Linked DNA regions of Coturnix japonica. The protein of the gene in region 1 purifies or fractionates together with the protein of each later gene. This does not show direct contact. Links are inferred from orthologs where the notes say so. Each region holds a gene or a part of one and is shown in the gene's direction. Other genes may lie near its edges.

Region 1 (10,363 bases):
GGCTCTGGGTCTCAGTGGGCATCTCACAAAGCTTGCCACACTCAATATACATGACTACTTAACAAAGGTGAGGCCTTCTTTCATAAGCAGCAGAGAAAAATACTTCTGAGATGTGATTTCTGTGAACAAAACAGGCTTTAAAAAAGAAAGCGGCGTATTTAAGAACTGAAATTGGGAGTTTCCTGGTGCAGGCAAATATCAGAAATGCTTTGCTAATCATAGTTTTGGTTCTTAAAACATCTTGTATGTCAGGAGTACAAGGAAGTGAATATCTGTATTATAACCACGTGTAGCAATTCATTGTGTAAGAATTTTTATTTAGGTTGAAGTTTGCTTCTATAGCAAGATCATAAACTTGGGAAATACAGTTATGCCCATAAAAGCTAGTATTCATTTTCCTAAAGAGCTGCCTGCAAAGCTTTAGCAATTGTGTATAGGGAGAATGTGAGACTTGTCTTTGATACTGGGGCAGGCATCTTTCTTTTCTGAATGTACCTGCATTCCTTTGTTGCTGGTGTTTCTTTTCTCAGGGCCATGAGATGACAAGTATTGGACTGTTACTTGGTGTTTCTGCTGCCAAGCTGGGCACGATGGATATGGCCATTACGCGGCTTCTAAGTATCCACATACCTGCCCTGCTTCCACCAACTTCAACAGAGCTGGATGTCCCCCACAATGTACAGGTGGCTGCTGTGATAGGAATAGGCCTTGTCTATCAGGGCACTGCTCACAGGCACACAGCTGAGGTTCTGCTGGCTGAAATAGGTGGGTGCTAGCACTGAAAAAAACAAGGTGATGACTGGGAAAGTCACAATGTATGTGTGATCTGAATGTGTTGATAAATCTTCTAATTACACCTCTGCCACTGCAATAAGCACCTCACATTTCCCAAACCTCATCTTTTTTCCTTTGAGAATTTTTCTTTTGAGAGCTTCTGAACAGTAAAGTTCTGATCTGAATTGTCTTCGTTCTGTGTAATTCTGATTTTATTTCTAACACCAACATCCTTGTGTCTGTGTAACTTCAGTTAAGAGACTGCAGTTCACTACATAGAGAAAGGGATGCACTTTAAGATGGAATTATACTTGTTTCTGATAATCTGATATGTGCAGTCTTTTGAACTAGTGGCAGCTCTTGAACTCTGCTGATGGTGTTTGTGTAGGCTCAGCGATCTTCAAAGTATGTGTAATTGTTGGTTTTTTTTTCAGGACGTCCACCTGGACCAGAAATGGAGTACTGCACAGACAGGGAGTCCTATTCACTGGCTTCTGGACTAGCCTTGGGCATGGTGTGCTTGGGAGTAAGTGCCTCTTTTCGCTTCAGTAGAAGAATTATTGTTTTTGGGGCAGGGCTAATGAGAATCATTTCATCTTCAAACCTTCCCTTGGCTAAATGATTTTTTTTGTTGTTGTTGTTGTTATGTAAGGGAACACTTGCCTATTATTTCTTTTCTTTCTTCTTTAGCATGGCAGTAATCTGATAGGTATGTCAGACCTCAATGTTCCTGAGCAGCTTTACCAGTACATGGTTGGGGGTCACAGGCGGTTCCAAGCAGGAATGCACAGGGAGAAGCACAAGTCTCCTAGTTACCAAATTAAGGTATGTGTTGGTGTTCTTTACTTGTTTAAGGGGAAGGTAATATTAGCTCAGAAGTCTTCGAAAGTCTGTATCTTAATGAATGATCTTGAATCTTTACTCATGTCACCTTTCCTAGTCAACTAGTATACACGTATATGCTTGTTTTTGCAGGAAGGAGACACAATAAATGTGGATGTTACTTGTCCAGGAGCCACGCTTGCCTTTGCTATGATCTACCTAAAGACAAATAACAGGTACTAACTTTGGAGGTACTCAAGCACTTTGCTGTAGTTTGTGATAGGAGTTTGAGCTGCCATAATGTTGGCTTTGCCTCATGTGGCTCACTCAGGTGTTTGCATGTTGCTGTAATACAGTCTGAAAACCCTGTTCCTTTACTGTGCTCTGCAGATCCATTGCTGATTGGCTTCAAACACCAGATACCATGTACTTGCTGGACTTTGTAAAACCAGAGTTCCTTTTATTGAGAGTAAGATTTTTCTTTTATTTCTCAGTCTATTTATTGATGGTAAAAAATACATCTTATTTTTTTAATAAACTCCATACGCCTGTCATACAGGACCCTTTCTACAGATAGCTGCTCTGTTACTTGTCAGCTAGAATCATACCTTCAAACAGCCTCTGCTTGCTTCTCACACTATGTTAGACAGACAGAATTTGGTGAGAAACATTTGAAGGATACATCTCGAGCTGAGTAATTTGAATGTTTAAGTGATTGTTTTATAGCTTTTCACAAATTAATTTCAATGTTGACAAACGGTTAAACCTCAGCATCTGTGTAAGCTGTAATGTGCTTTCATGTCAGCTTACCAGCTAAAGATACAGGCTTCCCAAGTGCTTATTCTGTGTCTCTTTTATCTCCAAGCAGAGTTTTAATTGCACTGAAATAAAAGCTATTTTGCCATTTCTAATATGAAAGCTAAGAAACAGCAATGGAGCTGTTAATGGGAGCAGCTACATTTCTGGATGCATGTTGTAATATGTTAAAAACTAACACTGATTTAACTTTTTTTTTTTTCTTTATTACCTTTTGGTTTTATCACTTTTTTAGACCTTAGCTCGGTGTCTGATTTTGTGGGATGACATCATGCCCAGCACTGAATGGGTTGATAGCAACGTGCCTCAAGTAGGTATATTTATGCTTCCTAGTTTTACACCCTGCTGTCTTGTGCAAGTGAACATTTCCTCAGTTGCATGAGCTGCACAATAAAGCATATGTTAATTTGCTGCGCTTTCTTAATAGGGGAAATGTGATTTGACTTAAGAGAGGCTGTGGGCTGGGCTATCAGTTAACACTGTTCACATACCACATTGAGGCCAGAGAAGAGAGGAGGAAAAGATGAATGTAACAGACACAAGTTGCAACATAGGAGTTTCTGTTGTGTTGTAAGGAAACAGTGTTTGCAAGGGGAGTGATCAGACATTAGGAGGAAAGCCCAGAATCTCTGAGACTATTCAAAGTGGAATTGGATAAGATAACCTGAGCAAATATGATATAGCTTTGAAGATGGTTTTTCTTTGAGTAAGGGCTTGAACCAAAGACTGCTGGACTTAAAGACATCAGGTGTTTCTGGCCATTTTAAACACATCTAGTTTGTTTATGTGACAGAGATAATAGTTATGCAGGGTTCTTTGACTGTTCCAGGAGCCCTGGCGGCTCACATCCTGTGTAGCATTATTGGATGGAATTCTTCATGACAATGATACTAGAAGGGGGAAGCAGTTAAACTTTCCTCTGCAAAGACCAGACAAACTCGGTGCAAAGCTCCTCTACAGGAGGATCAACTGTATTCCAGGATATGTTGCTTGGGATTTTGAAGAGCAAATTAGATTATATCTTTTAGAAATACAGGATGGAGATGAACTCCCTGGCCTCTCAAGATCTCATCCTGTTCTGTTTTCTGATATCTGAGTGCACTGTCACACTTCTGACATAATAATGCCATTGTTCTAGAAATATCGAAGGAACCAGATACACAAGCATTAAAAAGTGTGCTTTCTGGATCAGCAATACAGTGGAGCAGTAACATGTTGAAGCAAAGCTAACTTGTGTTCCTTTGAAACAGACCTACTTTGTATTACGTGAACACTTGATGGCTGGAGGGCTTAGAGAGGTTCCTCTCTATTCGTTTTTCTCTTACCCTTTTTTATAGATCATAAGAGAGAACAGTATACCTCTTCATGCAACAGAGCTGCCTTCATCAGAAGACCTGAGTTTAGAAACACTGATGTAAGTAACTTGTAAAAGATGATCTTGCATATAAAAGAATATTTTACAAAGCCAAATTCTGCTTCTGATAAAATGCAGCTGAACTTTTGAAGACATATCAGGATCAAATAAATCTTTCCCTGGTATCTGAGGAATTTATTCTCTCTGTAGTGGAGAGGGTCTGTCTTTTTTCTTTTTTTTTTTTTTTCCTATTATAAGAGCTTTTAGTGCATACTCAGATTAATAAAAAAGATAAATACTTCATCAATTCCTGTTCGTGTTGTTTACTAGGCAAGCTCATGTCTACATCATTGCTGGGGCATGTTTGTCACTGGGATTTCGATTTGCTGGCTCAGAAAATAAGGCAGCATTTAACTGCTTGGTAAGAGGTTGGATTTCTTCATGTAAAATCCATAGAGCTATAGCTTATCCTTTGTATCTCTATTCAGCATGCATTTCTTTCCTTTCCAGGATAAATACGCAACAGATTTCCTGAAAAGTTTGTCAGCACCAACAGCTTCTATAGTAAGTTATTCCAAGTTTTCTCTCTACTTTGATTACCATCACTGAAACCTTAATGCAAGCAGAACCATTCCTCTTACTTGTGTGTATTACAGACTTACAGCATGTAGGAGGGTTGTGAATCACTGTTAAGGACTTCACTGTTTCCCCACTCTCCCTCTTTCTGTGGAATGTGGTTTTTCAAAGTCTGGGGTAGACAGCAGCATATTAGACAGATCAGAAGTGCATTTGACCACAGATGTGTAATGACACCTTCCCTGTTCTACATGAAGATAGGTCACTATAATCTCGAAACGTGCCTGAGCGTCCTGCTGCTGTCTCTTGCAATGGTGGTGGCTGGCTCTGGAAACTTGAAAGTTCTTCAGCTTTGCCGTTTCATGCACAAGAAGACCGGCGGAGAGATGAACTATGGATTCCATCTGGCTCACCACATGGCTTTGGGGCTTCTCTTTCTGGGAGGAGGAAGGTAAACTTGCCATTTCCTAAAGCCATATTCTTCCCCCACCTTTTCTGCAACAGCTGGAGCAGTGCACGATTTTTTTCTTTTTTTAGTGGGTATACACTTGTAAATTCCTTTTCTGTACTTTGTTACTGTCCTTCCCGAATGCAAGAGACCAGAACATATTGAACATCTGTGGTAGTGGCATGTGTTTGTTGGCAGTAAGACTAATAGATAATGTTTTTCAACAGATACTCACTGAGCACTTCAAATTCTTCCATTGCTGCTCTCCTTTGTGCTCTGTACCCTCACTTCCCTGTTCACAGCACAGACAATAGGTAAGTGTTTGTTAACTTCATGTTTCTTTAAAGTTTATATCTCCTTAACTTTCAGGCTAAATAATCTCCTTACAATAGAGGTTATAGAGAGAAATTCTCTTGGAAATTTATATAGGCACGATATAGCTAATTTTTTGGAGGTTCATCCCCTGAAGAAATGTAAATAGCAGAAGCAGTAAGATGATGGTTCTGATCATTGATCAATGAGGAAATGCAAACAGGTGTCCTGGGGCTTCTGCTACAATGACTTATCTGTTCCAGCTTGCTCAGCAAAAAAAAAGTCATGCAAGATCTGTCTGTTTATGATTCTTCATGAATTTAATTAAAATTCATGAAGTCCTGTCTTGTTAGCTGAAGCATACCATGTTAAGGAAGTCTTTGAAACCTGCTTAATTACTCCAAATTTAACTTCAGTTCAGTTGACAGCTGTATGTAGTTACTGAGCTGTGTGTAGCTTACTATTTGGGATTATTCTGTGCCTGTACTGCTTGTCTTGAGTTTCCTTTCCCCACACACAGGTATCATCTTCAGGCTTTGCGGCACTTGTACGTGCTGGCAGCGGATCCAAGGCTCTTAATACCCGTTGATGTGGACTCAAACACTCCTTGTTACGCACTGTTAGAAGTTACATTCAAGGTAAGGAGTGAAGGCGTTTGAGGAGGTGTGGGAGGCAACTGAAAACTCCGATACACCAAAGCTCTGCTATTTTCATTGTTGTGGCCTGCAGTTTTGGGTTTGTTTTCAAGTTGTGGAGATAAGCCTGATTCTTTAGGCAAATAATTGAAGGGCTGTGTTCAGCCCACTCACACGTTACACGTGCTTTGATGACACAGAGAGGAGAATACAGGACAAATAAAAAGCACCACAAACTCTTCAAGTACGTAATAGCTGACCCAGAGTTGTAGTTCTCATTTTTCTAAAGAGAAAACTTTCAAAGATGCAGAGGTGGTTGGGGCCGTTTGTGGGTTTAACAGCTGCCTTCTAATTCTGCTGAGACTGGCAACTTGGTGTCTCTCTCTACATGATGTGCCTTCTGGGGAAGAATGCTTTCTCTACTGTTTATTCTCATATAGATTAACGTGAGATGGGTGGTGCTTGAGAAAGACCTAAAGAAGGGGTTGCTGAGATTTCAGGGGAGAAGTGTTGCAGTGCAGATCCTCCATGGGTCTGGCAAAGATGCTGAAGTTCTGTTCCTTGCTGTGGGAGGAGATAGGGCTATCCATACTATCATTTTCTTCTCAAACTTTTGGATTTCAATGGAGTGTGCCTGCTGTTGTGTGGTGATTCTTCTATGAGAAGTAGCTCTCTAGTTCAGGCTTATGTCTTGTAATGTTAAAGGTAATGCTAAGCTATGTATTTAGTCAGAGTTCAGCAACAGAAACTGACTGGCCTCTGCAACTGTGTTGCAAGAAGCACGTTTTCTTTCTTTTCACATGAAAGTGAGCTTTACTAATATGTGAATCCTGATGGCATTTTGAAGGGCACACAATGGTATGAAGAAACCACCGAGGAAATGATGGCACCCACGCTTCTTCCAGAGCTTCACTTGCTGAAGCAGGTAAAAGAAGTCCATGTTTAATGGAGAATATAATTACATGGGTTGTGTGCTGCCTGTGGTGCAGGAGCACTTGGTGAAGTTTCTTTGACCCAACACTAGGCAGGCTGTGGACAATGCTGTCTATAGCAGTGGCTCTGAAGGCAGTTGTCACTGTGAGTGCACATGCTGTCTCATGGCACGTGCTTCTCTTTGGTCTTGGCTGTCATGCTTTCAAGATCTGATGTAGCAGGGGTTTCCCTGTACCAAAAGCTTCACTGCAAGAGAGACAAAGCTAGTCCCTCCTTCATGTTTTCAGAGTGGGTAACGTGATAAAAGGTCATTTCCCCTTGTAATGGCAGGGAAAGGGCTTTAGGCTTACGTAGAAAACCCTGTTACGTTTCTGGTTATACCTCATAATAAAAATGCTTAAATCAACAGATCAGAGTGAAGGGACCACGGTACTGGGAACTTCTAATAGATTTAAGCAACGAAACAAGTCATCTCAAGTAAGTACTATTTGTAGTGCTTAAATGAATAATAACCTCGTATTTATTTCAAAATAAAAGAGAAAAGAAAACCAACACACTCCCATACTTGTAACACCTACGGTTTGCAAAGCAGTCTGCTTTTGATCAGATTGCTGTTGTGCATTTGATGGCGCTTTAAAGCGAAGAAAGAAACTGCGTAGTTGGTTTCACCTGTTGATGAGAATAATTCATGCAAAAAACAGGTCAGGGGAAAACCTGATAGTAAAAACCACAGATATTGGTAGCGGGATTTAGCAGCACCAGAAACCATCTGAATCTCATGGTTTTGGTTTAGTTTTGAGTTGTTGTGATGTCATGTTTCCCAGGCTGTTGATACAGTAATTAGCCAGCAGTTACCGCTTTGTGAAATACTATTTCTCTGATGTTACATGTAGCATACAGTGCTTACTGCATTTTTAACTCTCCATTGGGCAACTGTGAAAAACAGAAATCTTACCGGAATCACAGTATCTGTGAGTAAAATCATTCTCACTTGGTGCTTTTAGCAACCTACAGTGTAACTTGTCACCGTGAGTAGTGTGGAAGAAGCCAGCTGCATCTTTCAGCAGCAGCGTAGTTGTTCTTGTTACATGAAATGCCACCATTGAGATTAAGTTAAGCATTACAATGCTGCGGCTGTTGATCCGTGCCTTTAGCAATAACAGAGCTGATGTGGAGTGTGGAGTCCTCCAGATCAGCAGACACATCCTGAGTCATCTGCTACACCAGAGCTGGCAGGGCACAGCTTTGTCCTTCTATAGAGACTGCTAACACTTCAGTGCTTGTTTGCCCCTAAAGAGCCTGCCAGCACTCACTGCCGCAGCAGAAAGCAGCATGGGTGGCTGAGGAGGTTGCTGCCTTTGGCTCTGTCTGCTCTCTGGCACTCCAGATGCTTTGACTCTGCCATCTCTTGTCACAACATCGGTTACTCTATCATGTCCCAAGACCTTTCCAGTGTCAGGGACTTGGCTGGCATTGTTTTGAAGGTAAAAGCATATATGAGAAATCTTTTTTCCTGCCTTAACACAGCACAATCTGCTTGTACTATGCAAAGCAGTTACCTTCAGTTTGGAGAACTTGATTGTTACAGGGATTCCGGTGCCTACACTCTGAATGTGGTAAACATGCAGCTGCTTTGCAGCAGTGTAACTTTTGAAGTGCTGCATGCTTTTATATGTAGGCTTGGTCAGGGTTGGGGAGGAAGGGTTGTATTGGGTCATTTCTGCTTATTTGCCATTGAGGAAGGACTTGCTCAGCATTGCAGCGTGCTTTTAGAGCTGTGGCTTCCAGCTTGTGTGGTTTTCCTTGGGTGCTGGACAAAAACCTGCTTCAGGAAGTTACACTCCTTTTATTAGCAGGGCTTACCTTGTTTTCATCACCATTGCCTGCCTCCACATCACCATTTAATAGCAGTCTTCCCTGGAAGATACATAAAAAATGTTGGTTTGTGCAAGTTTAAATAATAGAGGCAAAGCATAAGCTGTGGAGTTCATGTTTATTTTGCAGGTCAGCCTCATTGTGGGCATCTGCCAATGTAAAGTAAGCACCGCTGTTGTTATTTCAGATCAATTCTTTCAAAGGGTGGTGTCTTGTACGTGAAGCTGAGAGCTGGGCAGCTCTCCTACAAGGAGGATCCCATGGGCTGGCGCAGTTTCTCAGCACAGACTATTACTCATGGGAACGAAGCACGGTCATTCAAGGTATCACTGCCTTTACTGGTTCTTATGCAGAGCAGCATGGAGGCTTTCTTACAAGGGCAGCATGGCACATAGAGGTGAAAGCTGCTAAACTTTGTTAACAAAGGATTTGGCAGTGAAGTGATGTCACCTCAGAGGAGTGTCTGAGGACAGGCTGTGAGGAACTGAGAATGTCACCTCTGGAAAGACAAAAGGGGAAGCACAGCAGGTTTGGGCTGTGTTATTTCCAGCAGGTAGCACTGCCACCAGGTTATGAGTGCTAAAGTCCTTTGTTTTGCTTAAGGGAGGTGTGCAATATGCTTAGGCCAACAGCTGCCATGCAAATGTATGTTCATCACAGAAGAATCAGGCAGGTTCTGCCCATGATATGCTTTTCGTAGGTTGCGCTGTTCTCACTTGTGTACTGGGGATGGAAAAGATGGATATAAATCACTATTTCAATTGTGTGATGAAACCAAAAAGTCCATTTTAAGAGTGTGTTTTGTTTTGTAGCCAGAAGATATTTCAGCTTTTACATCTGATCCTGCTCTATTATTGTTTGCTGAGTACTTTTGCAAACCAACTGTGAACATGGGCCAGGTATGATGTCTACATGTGAACTACCGTGCTTCCTTTTTCATGAAACAAAGGTGGGAAGAAGTCTGCTAAGATGTGAGGGACAAAATTCAGTCCTGTGGGAGTTTTCTGAGGGATGCTTTGTAGCGTGAAAGCACAAAATAGTGCTAACTCTATAGTTGTTCATGCAACCTCAGAGCTGGTTAAGCTGCAGAATACACCAATGGTTGTGCTGTGCTCATTGTGGATTGCACTGACCAAATCCTGAGAGCCCTGTGCAGTGTCCTGCAGAAGGGAGCTGTGCATTTCTTTGCACTAAGTCACCTAAGGCAGGAAGTAAAATACAGCTATGTTACACCTAGTATTAACAATCACCAGAAAGAAAGCAGGCTGCATGGCATTGCCTAGCTATTATTAGTTTGTGGAACATCAGTGCATGGGCTGACTTTAGTGGAAGGAAATTGAAGCAGTGTAAAAACCTGAAATAAATTGTGCCTGGCATGTGCAATTCATAAGATATGTGTTTTATCAGAAACAGGAAATGCTGGATTTTTTCTCTTCAATTCTCTATGAGTGCGTTACCCAAGAAAAACCAGAGATGCTGCCCACGTACATAGCAATAGATCAGGTGAAGTAAATACTGTATTTGTTATTGTTTTCTTTAAACTGCTTTGGCATAAGAATGTTTATTGCATACCATTCTATGGAAACAAAGAATAGAGGGGATATGTTGGTGAACTTATAGGAAGGGAGTGGTGATTTTAAAAGCAAATTGGAAAATAGTTTAAGGCTGTGGAAATTATAATTACACAGTGAGGTTCACTGATGGATCTTCTAAGTAGGTGCTAAAGAGGGGAGCCCTTGGAGAGGGGAGTTTTTAGGGTTCCTTTCCTTTCTCCATTAAGTTCCCATTCTCACAGTTGCTTTGTATTTCCCTCTACTA
Region 2 (10,127 bases), on another chromosome or scaffold:
CCTCGAAGAAGCTCTCGCCTTTTTACTAGTGATAGCTCCACAACAAAGGTAATGAATCCATGCTTTATTTTTTTTCCCAAGCTTGAGAGGCTTTCCTTACCCATGCCACTGCACTGCCTAATAGTTTCCCCATCTACACATCAATCATAGCAGTTTGTTCCTAAACTCCATCATGAGCAGAAAAATCAGGCTATATGAAACATGCCTTGAATGCCATATGTTCCTTTTCGTTCTCAAGAGTGCTCCACTAGGGGTGGGAAGAAGGTCATGATAAACAACAACAAAGATCTGTACTGGGATGACAAGTGCAGTTGTGCTGCTAGCTGCCAACCCATTTGACAAGGGGCTGTGTTGTGTGGATATGTTTATTTCAGAATTTCTTAGCTGGATGCTTTGCTTCTCTAAAAGCAAGCTGACTTTTTTTCTTGTCAGTTTTCTGTTCTTTAATCAGTGGAGCAGGACTTCAGAGCACAAATGCTTGTGGACTGTGGTTAATGTATGTGAATGTTTGTTAAAAAACAAAGCACTCAGTGGAGTTAGGAGGTGTTTTACTTTTGAACTCAGTTACAGACAGCTGGGCACTGTTGCGAAAGCTGTGAAGAGGGATAAATTCATTGTTACTGAACTTGCAAGTTAATCATGTTAAGTTGAATTAATTTCTTTTGTATATGTGACTTTTGTTCTTTTTGCTTGCAGGAAAATAGCAAAAAATTAAAAATGAAGTTTCCACCTAAGATTGCAAACAGGAAAACAAAAAGTAAAACAAATAAGGGAGGGATAACTCAGCCAAACATAAATGATAGCTTGGAAATTACCAAACTGGACTCTTCCATCATTTCAGAAGGGAAAATATCTACTGTTACACCACAGATCCAGGCTTTTACGCTACAGAAGGCAGCAGCAGGTCTGTTTGAATGTTATCAGACTTCAGTAAGGTCAAACTTTGGTAGATGTATGTCTTCAATCATAGTATGGTTGTGTAGGAGAGGACCTCAAAGCTCACCCACTTGCAACCCTCTGCTGTGGGCTGGCTGCCCCCCAGCAGCACAGGCCAGAATCCATCCTGGCCTTGGACACCTCCAGGGATGGGCAGCAGTGTCAGGGCATCACCACCCTCGTAAAGAATTTCCCCCTCACATCTGGCTTAAATCTCCCCTCTTAGATTAAAGCCATCCCCCTTTGTCCTAGCACTGTCTGCTGTGTGAAAAGTCGTTCTCCCTCCTGCTTATAAGCTCCCTCTAGTCTAGACGGAGGGGAAAATTGCTTTAGTTATGTGTATCATTTCAGTCAACCTGCAGCTCTTCTGTAATTATCAAGATAGTTGGAGTACACTGAACTCAATGTAACTTACAGAGAACTAATGAAATAATAGGATGAAAAAAACAGTGAGCAAACGTATCTGACTCTGGTTCTTATGAGTGTTTAAGATGTTTTCAGGCAGGAACCCTGGAAACTGATTCAAAGGAGTTATGAGTAATTCAATTATCTTAAAATTAGATTTGTGTTGTCTATTCTCCCTTGCGGTTTCCTATTTAAGCACAAATCTTTGTCCAGTTTGACAGAAAATCCTAGACAAGCTATTGAATTCCTCTCTTTTGGCTCCATAAAGTTTCCAGGCAGCGAGCAGATGTGTCCATGGATACCAGACATGTGGAAACTGAGACCTAAAAAAAAATAAGTTTGAGTTGTTGGTGTAAGTGCAGAAATCCACTTCTCCTGAGCGTCACCATTTCTCTGTTCCTGAGTGTTCTGTTGCTGGCTTGAGAAGTTGTCAACACCTGACTTCCACTGCTGTTTAGAATGTTGTGTTGTGAATTAAGAGTGGATAAGCCTGCTTAAGGACTCTTGGAAGATATTCATATGCAAAATTAGGAGCAGTGCCACAGTGTGAAGCTTATGAGGATTAGCTGTTTCAAGTAAATGAATTTCAGCAGTTTTTTCCATTTTTACTTATTGTATTTTTCTCCTAGAAGGTTTGATGAGCCTTCTTCGTGACATGGGGAAAGGTTATTTAGCCCTGTGCTCATACAACTGCAAAGAAGCGATAAATATTTTAAGCCATTTGCCATCTCACCACTACAACACTGGCTGGGTGCTGTGCCAGATTGGGAGAGCTTACTTTGAACTTGCAGAATACATGCAGGTAGGAACTGCCTGTGGTTGGTTTTGAGTCTGTGTCAGCAGTCGTTGTTTCCTGAAGTTGAGTTGTGCTTCAGATTTCTTTTAATGCTGAAGTTACTTCCTCTTGCATCCAGTCCTGGGAGTCTCCCTTTGCCTTTCTCCATCTTCACCCTCACTTGGGCTGATGCAGCTGTTTGTACTGCAGTGCTGTAAATAATCACTGAAACAATTCAGGTTCCAAAACCAGGTGTTCTTCTCCCCCCCCTTATTTAGTTAATGGAGATCCATTGATGACCTGGTTCCCTTTGCAGCTGAGGTGATAGCAAACTGCTTCACAACAGAAAAAAGCAGCTAAGATGAATCCAGCCGTTCAGCTCTTATTCTCTCTGTTGCCCTGACAGTTGTTGTGCTTGTTTCCTGCAGGAGTCACAAGCAGGGAGGGCAGCTGGAATTCTGCTTGGTCTAACTGTATTGGAGTGCAGTCATTTCCTTTGGTGGGGAAGATAAAAATACAACAGGACTTGTAGCTCTGCCTCATGTTTGCATAGCAAAGAATTCTCATTCTGGACATATGAGGCTTCTAACTTTGATCTGTGTGCTCTGTTTGAGTGGGTGGAATTGCTGTTGTTTGATTTCTCATTTCCTTTCTTAGGCTGAAAGGATATTTTCAGAAGTGAGGAGGATTGAAAACTACAGAGTAGAAGGCATGGAGATCTATTCAACTACGCTGTGGCATCTGCAGAAAGATGTTGCTCTGTCAGTTCTTTCAAAGGATTTAACAGACATGGATAAAAACTCACCAGAGGTACAAAATGCTGTGGTGCTCAGTGAGATGAGTAACTGTGTGCGGCACAGACAGTGACAGGGAACAGAACTTGGACTGGAGCTGGATTAGGATTTCATTCTCACTTGAGAAATATGAGGTGAAACTGGAGAGGGAGGTGGCAGGATTTGCCTGTTGAGCTGATGATGCCTGAAATGGCTGCTTGGCGTTAGAATATCAGCTTATATGGGACACGTTGTGAACCTTTAATCTATTAATGGTGATTTGAATCTGTATTGACATTGTTAATCCAGGAAGATCATGGGTTGATCAATTGTCCCTGCTGATGCCCACATGTAAAGATAAGGGATGTTTTTTCTCATATTATCTTCTAACTGCTGTAATTCACTGGCACTCATATTTCCTGCACAACTTGTACAACGCTGCTTGAAAATATTTTTATGCTGAAGTCCGTTGAGCTGGTATTATAACATGCACATGACATGCAAGCAAGCTGACATGTGCCCCAATAATAAGTATGTATGTGTGTGGAGGGGATATAAATCTGCTCTTGACAGAGTGGGGGAAGCTGTGGAGTCTGTTGGGATTTTCTGCTGGAGATGAACCTATTCAGGTCATTCTATTTTGTACTAGAGGAAGGAGGACTTAGTGAAGCAACTGGTCAGTACTGTTAAAACTGTTGTTTATAATCTAGTAGCAAGTGACATAATTGCATAGATCAGTGACAGAAGATCTGTTTAGCTCAGACTTGGTCATTCTGCAGGTTGTGAAATGACACTTCTAACTTAGAATGCTGTTTTTTATTAGGCATGGTGTGCTGCAGGGAACTGCTTCAGCTTGCAACGAGAGCATGACATTGCAATCAAGTTCTTCCAGAGAGCCATTCAAGTTGATCCAAACTATGCTTACGCCTACACCCTTTTGGGGCATGAATTTGTGTTAACAGAAGAGCTAGACAAGGCATTAGCTTGTTTTAGGAATGCAATCAGAGTCAACTCCAGGCACTACAATGCATGGTAAGTCTTGCTTCATCCCCCTTCTGCTGTATGTGATATGGAGCACCTTTGGGAGGAATAAGCTGCAAACGCTGCTGTGAATTTTGTGAGACTTTTCTGTCATTGAGTCATTTCTAAATATGTGCCACTTCTACCAGTCCATATTTGCTGATGACAATTAGTTTATTTAAGATGCACTCTTATTAATGGAACTGTTTTTCCTTTTTGCAGGTATGGGTTGGGAATGATTTATTACAAACAGGAGAAATTCAGTTTAGCAGAAATGCATTTCCAGAAAGCACTTGATATCAATCCTCAGAGCTCAGTCTTACTGTGTCACATTGGAGTAGTAAGTAGATTGCGCTCAGCTCTCTCCTTGTTATGTTCTGATTTGCCTCTGCCCTTTACCTGCAACCTTCCTGAACTTGAAGTGCAAAAACAAACAAAACAAAGTTCAGAGGATCTATTAGAGGATCTTATTGCATGAATGAATAACCGTGGGATTGTGTCAGAAAATAAATCCTCTTTTCTCCCTCCCCCCAGTTGCTTTTAGCCAGTGTTGAAATGGCTTACTGACTCAACCTGATAGCATAGGCTTACCTGTGAGAAAGCTTGGTTTCTTTAAGACTCAGTAGGAACAGGTTGTAAGTAAACGTAGCAGCACCAGTCAAATTTACTTTATTCTTTTCCCCTTTTGAGATTTTATTCCTGTTCTGTTACAGGTCCAACACGCACTGAAAAAATCTGAAAAGGCTTTGGATACTCTAAACAAAGCAATTAACATCGACCCCAAGAACCCACTATGCAAATTCCATAGAGCTTCTGTACTGTTTGCAAATGAGAAATACAAGGTAAGATTTGATGCACGTAGACAACCTTAGATTATCTGTTACTTGCTACAGCAGCGGATGGGGATGCAGTGATAAGCATTAAGGCTTGAAGCATGAGTAGGAAGAGCCTGAGGCAGAGCAGCTAATAAAGCATTTGTTTCAAGAAGTGCCACCTTCACTGAGCAGGAGATTAAAAGTCAAAAGCAGAGGATACCTGTGAGCAGGAGAAAAAAAATTAGATGTTATTATAGGAGACCAAAGCCCAGCGTATTTATTCTGTGCTTGTAATAATTGGGCCATAACATTCTATAGCCATTAAAGGAGAAACTAATGTAAAAGAAACTTGAGGTGCTTCTGATGAGGCCGTACTGTTGTTTGTGGTGGAGTGTGCTGTATGTCAGTTGCGAGGTTTGCATCAGCTCTGAGTTGCAGTTCAGCAATGCAATAACTGGCTGCTGGTTGCCAGCTTGTGCTTATTTTTTTTCTTCCTTTTCAGTCTGCTTTGCAAGAACTTGAAGAACTGAAGCAGATTGTTCCCAAAGAGTCTCTTGTTTACTTCTTAATAGGAAAGGTAGGTGAAATTTCACTGTGTTTGTAAGCACTTTGTTTTCCTTCATTGCAGAAACGTCTGCTTAATGAGGAAACTTGAAGCCTGTTGCCAAGCTGTTTACATTTGGGGCAGCATTGTAAAATTCACAGAGCCTTCAATAAGACTTGCTGCATATAATCTCACAGCTCTCCAACGTAACAGCTTTCAGCCTTAAAAGACTGGAGCAACCTCAAGCTATTTTTATAACCACCCAAGAAAAGATAACCCAAGCTCCTGTTGTCTTCTTTTACATCTGTTGTCTCAGAGGAATTCATTTTAGAAAGCAAGAAATGGATCTTTATTGAGATCTTTAACTGCAAAGAGGTTGCAGTAGTTAGAACAGCTTTCAGGGCTAGGCTGACTATCAGTCATCTGTGTTGGTTATTTGGGCCTGGAGATGTGAAAGTGTTGAACCATGCTCAAATGTATAAATGTATTAATATTGCATCAGAAGTGCTGAGTAAGTGTCTGTGGGGTGCTTTTACTCCTCCGTGTCTGTTTCAGCTGATGGCCTTTGCAAGTGGGTTACAGAAGGCGATATCCTTCTGTATCAGTTTGGGAAGTGGGAAATCTTAATGAGGCTGTAGGAGTTCCGAGGCTTAAATTACATCTGAAGAACCACTTCCTTATGTTCTTGAATCTGTTGGCTGCTAATTTCATTTGATCACTTCATTTAAATTTGGGCACTTAGGCAGAAACACTCATGCACTTTTTCTACATGCTTTTGCTGTTTCCCTCTGGACTTGTGTAATAAATGTTTGAATCTACTCTACTGCTTCTCATATGTGTTAGTTAACTGTGACTTATTGTGTTTGTTGTCCAACCTTTCACACAGCACCTTGTAAACGTAGCATTTCATGCTTTTATTTTAGGTTTATAAAAAGCTGGGGCAAACCCATTTGGCCCTAATGAATTTCTCCTGGGCGATGGACTTAGATCCCAAAGGAGCCAACAACCAAATTAAAGAGGCTATCGATAAACGTTACCTTCCAGATGACGAGGAACCAATAACTCAAGAAGAGCAAATCAGTGAATGTTATCCCTATGAATCAGGTTTGTATTTTGCATATGCGTGTTCTGCATCCCTAAATCTTCACCTGGAAAAGCTGTTAGGGTGTATATCATAGTAATTCCTAGTGGTCTTGTCCCACTGTGCTTTCAATATGGGGAGCTGCACTGCACTTCCTGATGTGCCAGGCTTTCCTCTTGCTGTTGAGGTTGGATTACCTGCATATAATCTGCATGTAAGGCTGGTGCACTTTGTGGGCTGAGTCACCAGAAGATGGAGACAGAGTACTGGAACTTCAGTGGCAGTCAAATGATGGAGCAGAGGGTGGGAGGTTGGGGGAAGCCCCGTGACTTAATCTGTCCTATAAATATAACTGAAATAAAAGGTGTACGTTTGGATCATAAGTGATCACAATCACAGTGCATTGATGTGGTGGGTAACAGGAGCGAGCATCTGTTAAGTGAAGGAGACTGCAGGTTTTTGTATTTTGTGATCCCAATTCCTTTCTAAATGCATTTATTTCAACTGTATTAAGCTAGCGGGGGGTCACCTTATTGCAATGAAAAGACCTTATGGCTCCTTAAGCCTTTTGAGGGAGGGGGATGAAGGCAGGAGCTCAGTTTCACATTGATGAGGTACCAACATGTTGCTGCTGTGCTGCAGTTGGCTGTGCAGGAACTGTAGTCAAGTTTTGACCAATTTTGTGTTCTGTTTCTTTTTCCAAGTTGGCACAGACGAATCCCAAGAGAGCAGCATGACGGATGCAGATGACACACAGCTCCATGCAGTTGAAAGCGATGAATTTTAACCTCCAAAAAGCCAACATGTGGGCTTGAGTGTGTGACTGGTACTGTTGTGTTCTCCCTTTCCTTTGCGTCCTGGGTCTTCACATCACTGAGCCAGCATTGTCATGAATTCTCCACTGACACCATGAGTTCACCGCTCAGACTGTGCACAGAATTAATGGCAGTGCAATATTTGGCTGCTGCTGAGGTTGACTTGTTGGCTCTTATAAGGAGGAAATGCTGGGTTTTTGGTTTATTTTGGACTCCCCTTTGCTGGAAAAAATATCATGGAAGAGACGTGCGGGTTGCTGTAACGAAGCCAGTAGATGTGGGGGCAGTACTAATGAAGCGGTGTCTTGTTCCTTTCCCAGAAGTGTGTCTTAGTTTGGTTCTTTCTTGGTGAGCAGAGTGCTGAACTTCATTTCCGAGTTCTTTGAGGACAGTGTTGACAAATGCTGTTAAAGACTTTTGCATATTGTAGTGTAACTTAAATGCCAGGGAATGTAAATGACCTTAAAGCTGCAGCATCTCCAGTGAACAAACAGAGCGTGTGTGCTCAGGGCTGGGGCTGTCAGACCATGTAACAGCACCCTGTGTCCCTCTTAGAGTGCAAACCTGCAGGGATGGGGACGTAGCAAGAGAATCACAGTGCAGAATCACAGCTTTCACGGAGAACTTTCATGTCCTTAACAGAGACTTAATTTATTCACCTAGTTTCTAAGATGTCTTTACTTTGTACGTTAAACAAGTCAGCGGTGCATTGCTCCATTTGTTTTTTCATACACCCCCTTGAGTTGTTCTTCCCGGTGTGAAAATAAACATTAATAAAGGGGCAAAACCAAGAGAGAGAAATGCAGATACGACTTAACGTGGATCCACCGAGCCCTTTCCCTGCAGTGACTGCCTGCTGCTGAACCAATCCATGGGGAAGACCAGAAGCCTTAATGCAAAATCAGAACCTTACAGTCGAATGCATCAGGTAACAATTGCCTCAGATCGGATCCTTTTTAAACCAGTTTTGTAACGTGTGGTCCAAGCGGAGTGCAGAGATGTGCAGTTCTCTGTGGTTTTGGGTTTGTTTTAAGCTGTTCTTTGAGGTCCTCGGAATCGCTTTCTCTCTATAGGATTATAGACCCCTTCCCTCCTCCCTGAGGCTGTTTCTGTGTGAAGAAAGCTGTGCCACACTGAGTCCAAAACGACCTTTCTCTGTAGTGTTTTGCAGCAACAATTGGTGCCCTTTATGCAGTGATGATAAAGAAAGTGTATGATAAAAGCAGTTTTAAAGAGCGATTTATGCATAATAAATTGGGAATGATATAAATTTCATAGCAACATAACTTGTTGGTGTCAGCCTTGATCTTTTTGTTGCTGTCTTGTGAAGGGTTTCTCTCTGTGCATTAAACCATAGCATTGCACTGTGCTCCATCACAGCTCCTTGCTGTTGTGAGTCATAGGGACACATTTATTGCATGAGAAATAACCCAAAGTGCAGCCTTTGTGTTCTTGGACAAGCAGAGGAAAGTGAGCTGAGCATCCCCAGCATTGTGAAGGTCCTGAAAGGTGAAGAATAAACACCCCCCCCTCCACTGATGGAGGCAGTGCCTGCATCTGCCCTGCCACAATGGATGGAGTCTTTTGGTTCCCAACCCATTTTCTAAGCAGAAATAATGAGCTTCATCCCCAGGAGCTCCTCAGCTGCAGCAGGTGAGTCTTTCCCTGTGTATGGGAAGGAACACCGAGTGCTTCCAGCTCCCAGAGCAGCACCTTGCTTGGTTCATCTCCTTTCCATCCTCTGCTGCTGCTCTGACTTCCCCCAGGAATTGCTGCTTGTTTTGACCTGAGGCTTAGGAAGCCAGGGGGCTCCTTCCCTCCTGTGGCCATTGAGAACAGTTACACAACAGTCATGAACTCAGCTGGGGTGCTGGATACTCACTGAAGATTCAATACTTGCATCTGTCCCCATGTTTATGTGTACATCATACCTTTAAAATGGGCTTTTATAGAAGAACCTGAAGTTGGAAGCAGATTTAGCAGCTTTCTGCCCCTATGAGCTGCTGTGTCCTGAGCTGGGGCTGCAGGTTTTCTGTTGTGGGCTGTGTGAGCCCTCCCAGCACCTCAATACTCCTCAATAAGGGCAGCTGTGAGTGCTGGGTGCTGCAGGAAGGGTCTCAGTTCTGTTATCCTTAAAGCTGTTGGCACTCAGTTTGTTACAGCAGCCCCATCTGTCTCCTTTCTGCCTTTGGCTGTTGGGGTTGCATTGAATTTGAGCCCTCCTCCCTTTCATTTCTGTATTTCTCAGCCCTGCCCTTCACTCTTCTGCTCCTGATGCTTCCTCTGTACCTTGTGCTGCTGGGGCTGCACGTTTCCCAGCAGTGAAGTAAAGGGAAAAGCAACGTGTGCTGCAATCCCCCCCCCACCCTGCAGTGCCATGCACTGTGTTAGGGCTGGGCAGCATCGCAGGGCTCCCAGCTCAGGAATCCTCTTGGTGCTTTATGGGCACAGACAGCTTTGTGCTCTTCATGCTGCCTCGGTGGGCACTTAATGCTGCTCTCTGCTTCCTGCCCCTCCATCAGTATTAGGGGTTTGATTTCAAACACCCTCATGGTGCAAATAGGGGAGGGCTCAGAAATGGCCCCTCTTTAACCACAGCTCAGTTCCTGGAGCTGTATGTTCCTTTCTGACCACCTTCAGCTGTTGTATCAGCTCAAAGTCTCCCCTGGTTTATGGAATCCATCAGTCCCTGATGTTGCCTACAGCAGAAATGAAGGTGCCCACAGCCATGGATGGGCTCTGGGCACCCTGAGCTGGGAGTGGGCAACCAATGTGTGGTGCAGGGTTGGAAGCAGGTGAGCTTTAATGTGTCCTGCTCTGCTTGCAGGGCTGGCTGCTCTGGGAATACCCACCAACATCCAGCTTCATTCTCCAGCCCACATTGTGAGGCTGAGCTTGGCTTTAACTCACTGAGCATGGAGGCTGTGAGAGCCCTTGGGAGGAGGAGCAGCGTGATGCTGGCT

The links.
Region 2: the proteins of ANAPC1 (region 1) and CDC27 purify together in Homo sapiens (affinity purification with mass spectrometry; 16 studies listed by BioGRID and IntAct, with this or other methods). This does not show direct contact. The link is inferred for Coturnix japonica from reciprocal best matches to the Homo sapiens genes ANAPC1 and CDC27.

What each region holds. Positions count from the first base shown.
Region 1 is NC_029518.1:4,579,315-4,589,677, forward strand, and holds part of ANAPC1 (anaphase-promoting complex subunit 1), read left to right. Parts: coding exon 1-67; intron 68-530; coding exon 531-765; intron 766-1,208; coding exon 1,209-1,300; intron 1,301-1,464; coding exon 1,465-1,599; intron 1,600-1,749; coding exon 1,750-1,832; intron 1,833-1,986; coding exon 1,987-2,065; intron 2,066-2,647; coding exon 2,648-2,722; intron 2,723-3,749; coding exon 3,750-3,826; intron 3,827-4,096; coding exon 4,097-4,187; intron 4,188-4,276; coding exon 4,277-4,330; intron 4,331-4,599; coding exon 4,600-4,793; intron 4,794-5,017; coding exon 5,018-5,104; intron 5,105-5,622; coding exon 5,623-5,740; intron 5,741-6,584; coding exon 6,585-6,662; intron 6,663-7,079; coding exon 7,080-7,147; intron 7,148-8,732; coding exon 8,733-8,868; intron 8,869-9,357; coding exon 9,358-9,444; intron 9,445-9,952; coding exon 9,953-10,048; intron 10,049-10,363. UniProt on the Homo sapiens protein: Component of the anaphase promoting complex/cyclosome (APC/C), a cell cycle-regulated E3 ubiquitin ligase that controls progression through mitosis and the G1 phase of the cell cycle.
Region 2 is NC_029542.1:2,300,442-2,310,568, forward strand, and holds the end of CDC27 (cell division cycle protein 27 homolog), read left to right. Parts: coding exon 1-48; intron 49-696; coding exon 697-904; intron 905-1,970; coding exon 1,971-2,143; intron 2,144-2,773; coding exon 2,774-2,926; intron 2,927-3,712; coding exon 3,713-3,921; intron 3,922-4,131; coding exon 4,132-4,249; intron 4,250-4,622; coding exon 4,623-4,751; intron 4,752-5,226; coding exon 5,227-5,301; intron 5,302-6,191; coding exon 6,192-6,372; intron 6,373-7,053; coding exon 7,054-7,136; 3' UTR 7,137-8,450; downstream 8,451-10,127. UniProt on the Homo sapiens protein: Component of the anaphase promoting complex/cyclosome (APC/C), a cell cycle-regulated E3 ubiquitin ligase that controls progression through mitosis and the G1 phase of the cell cycle.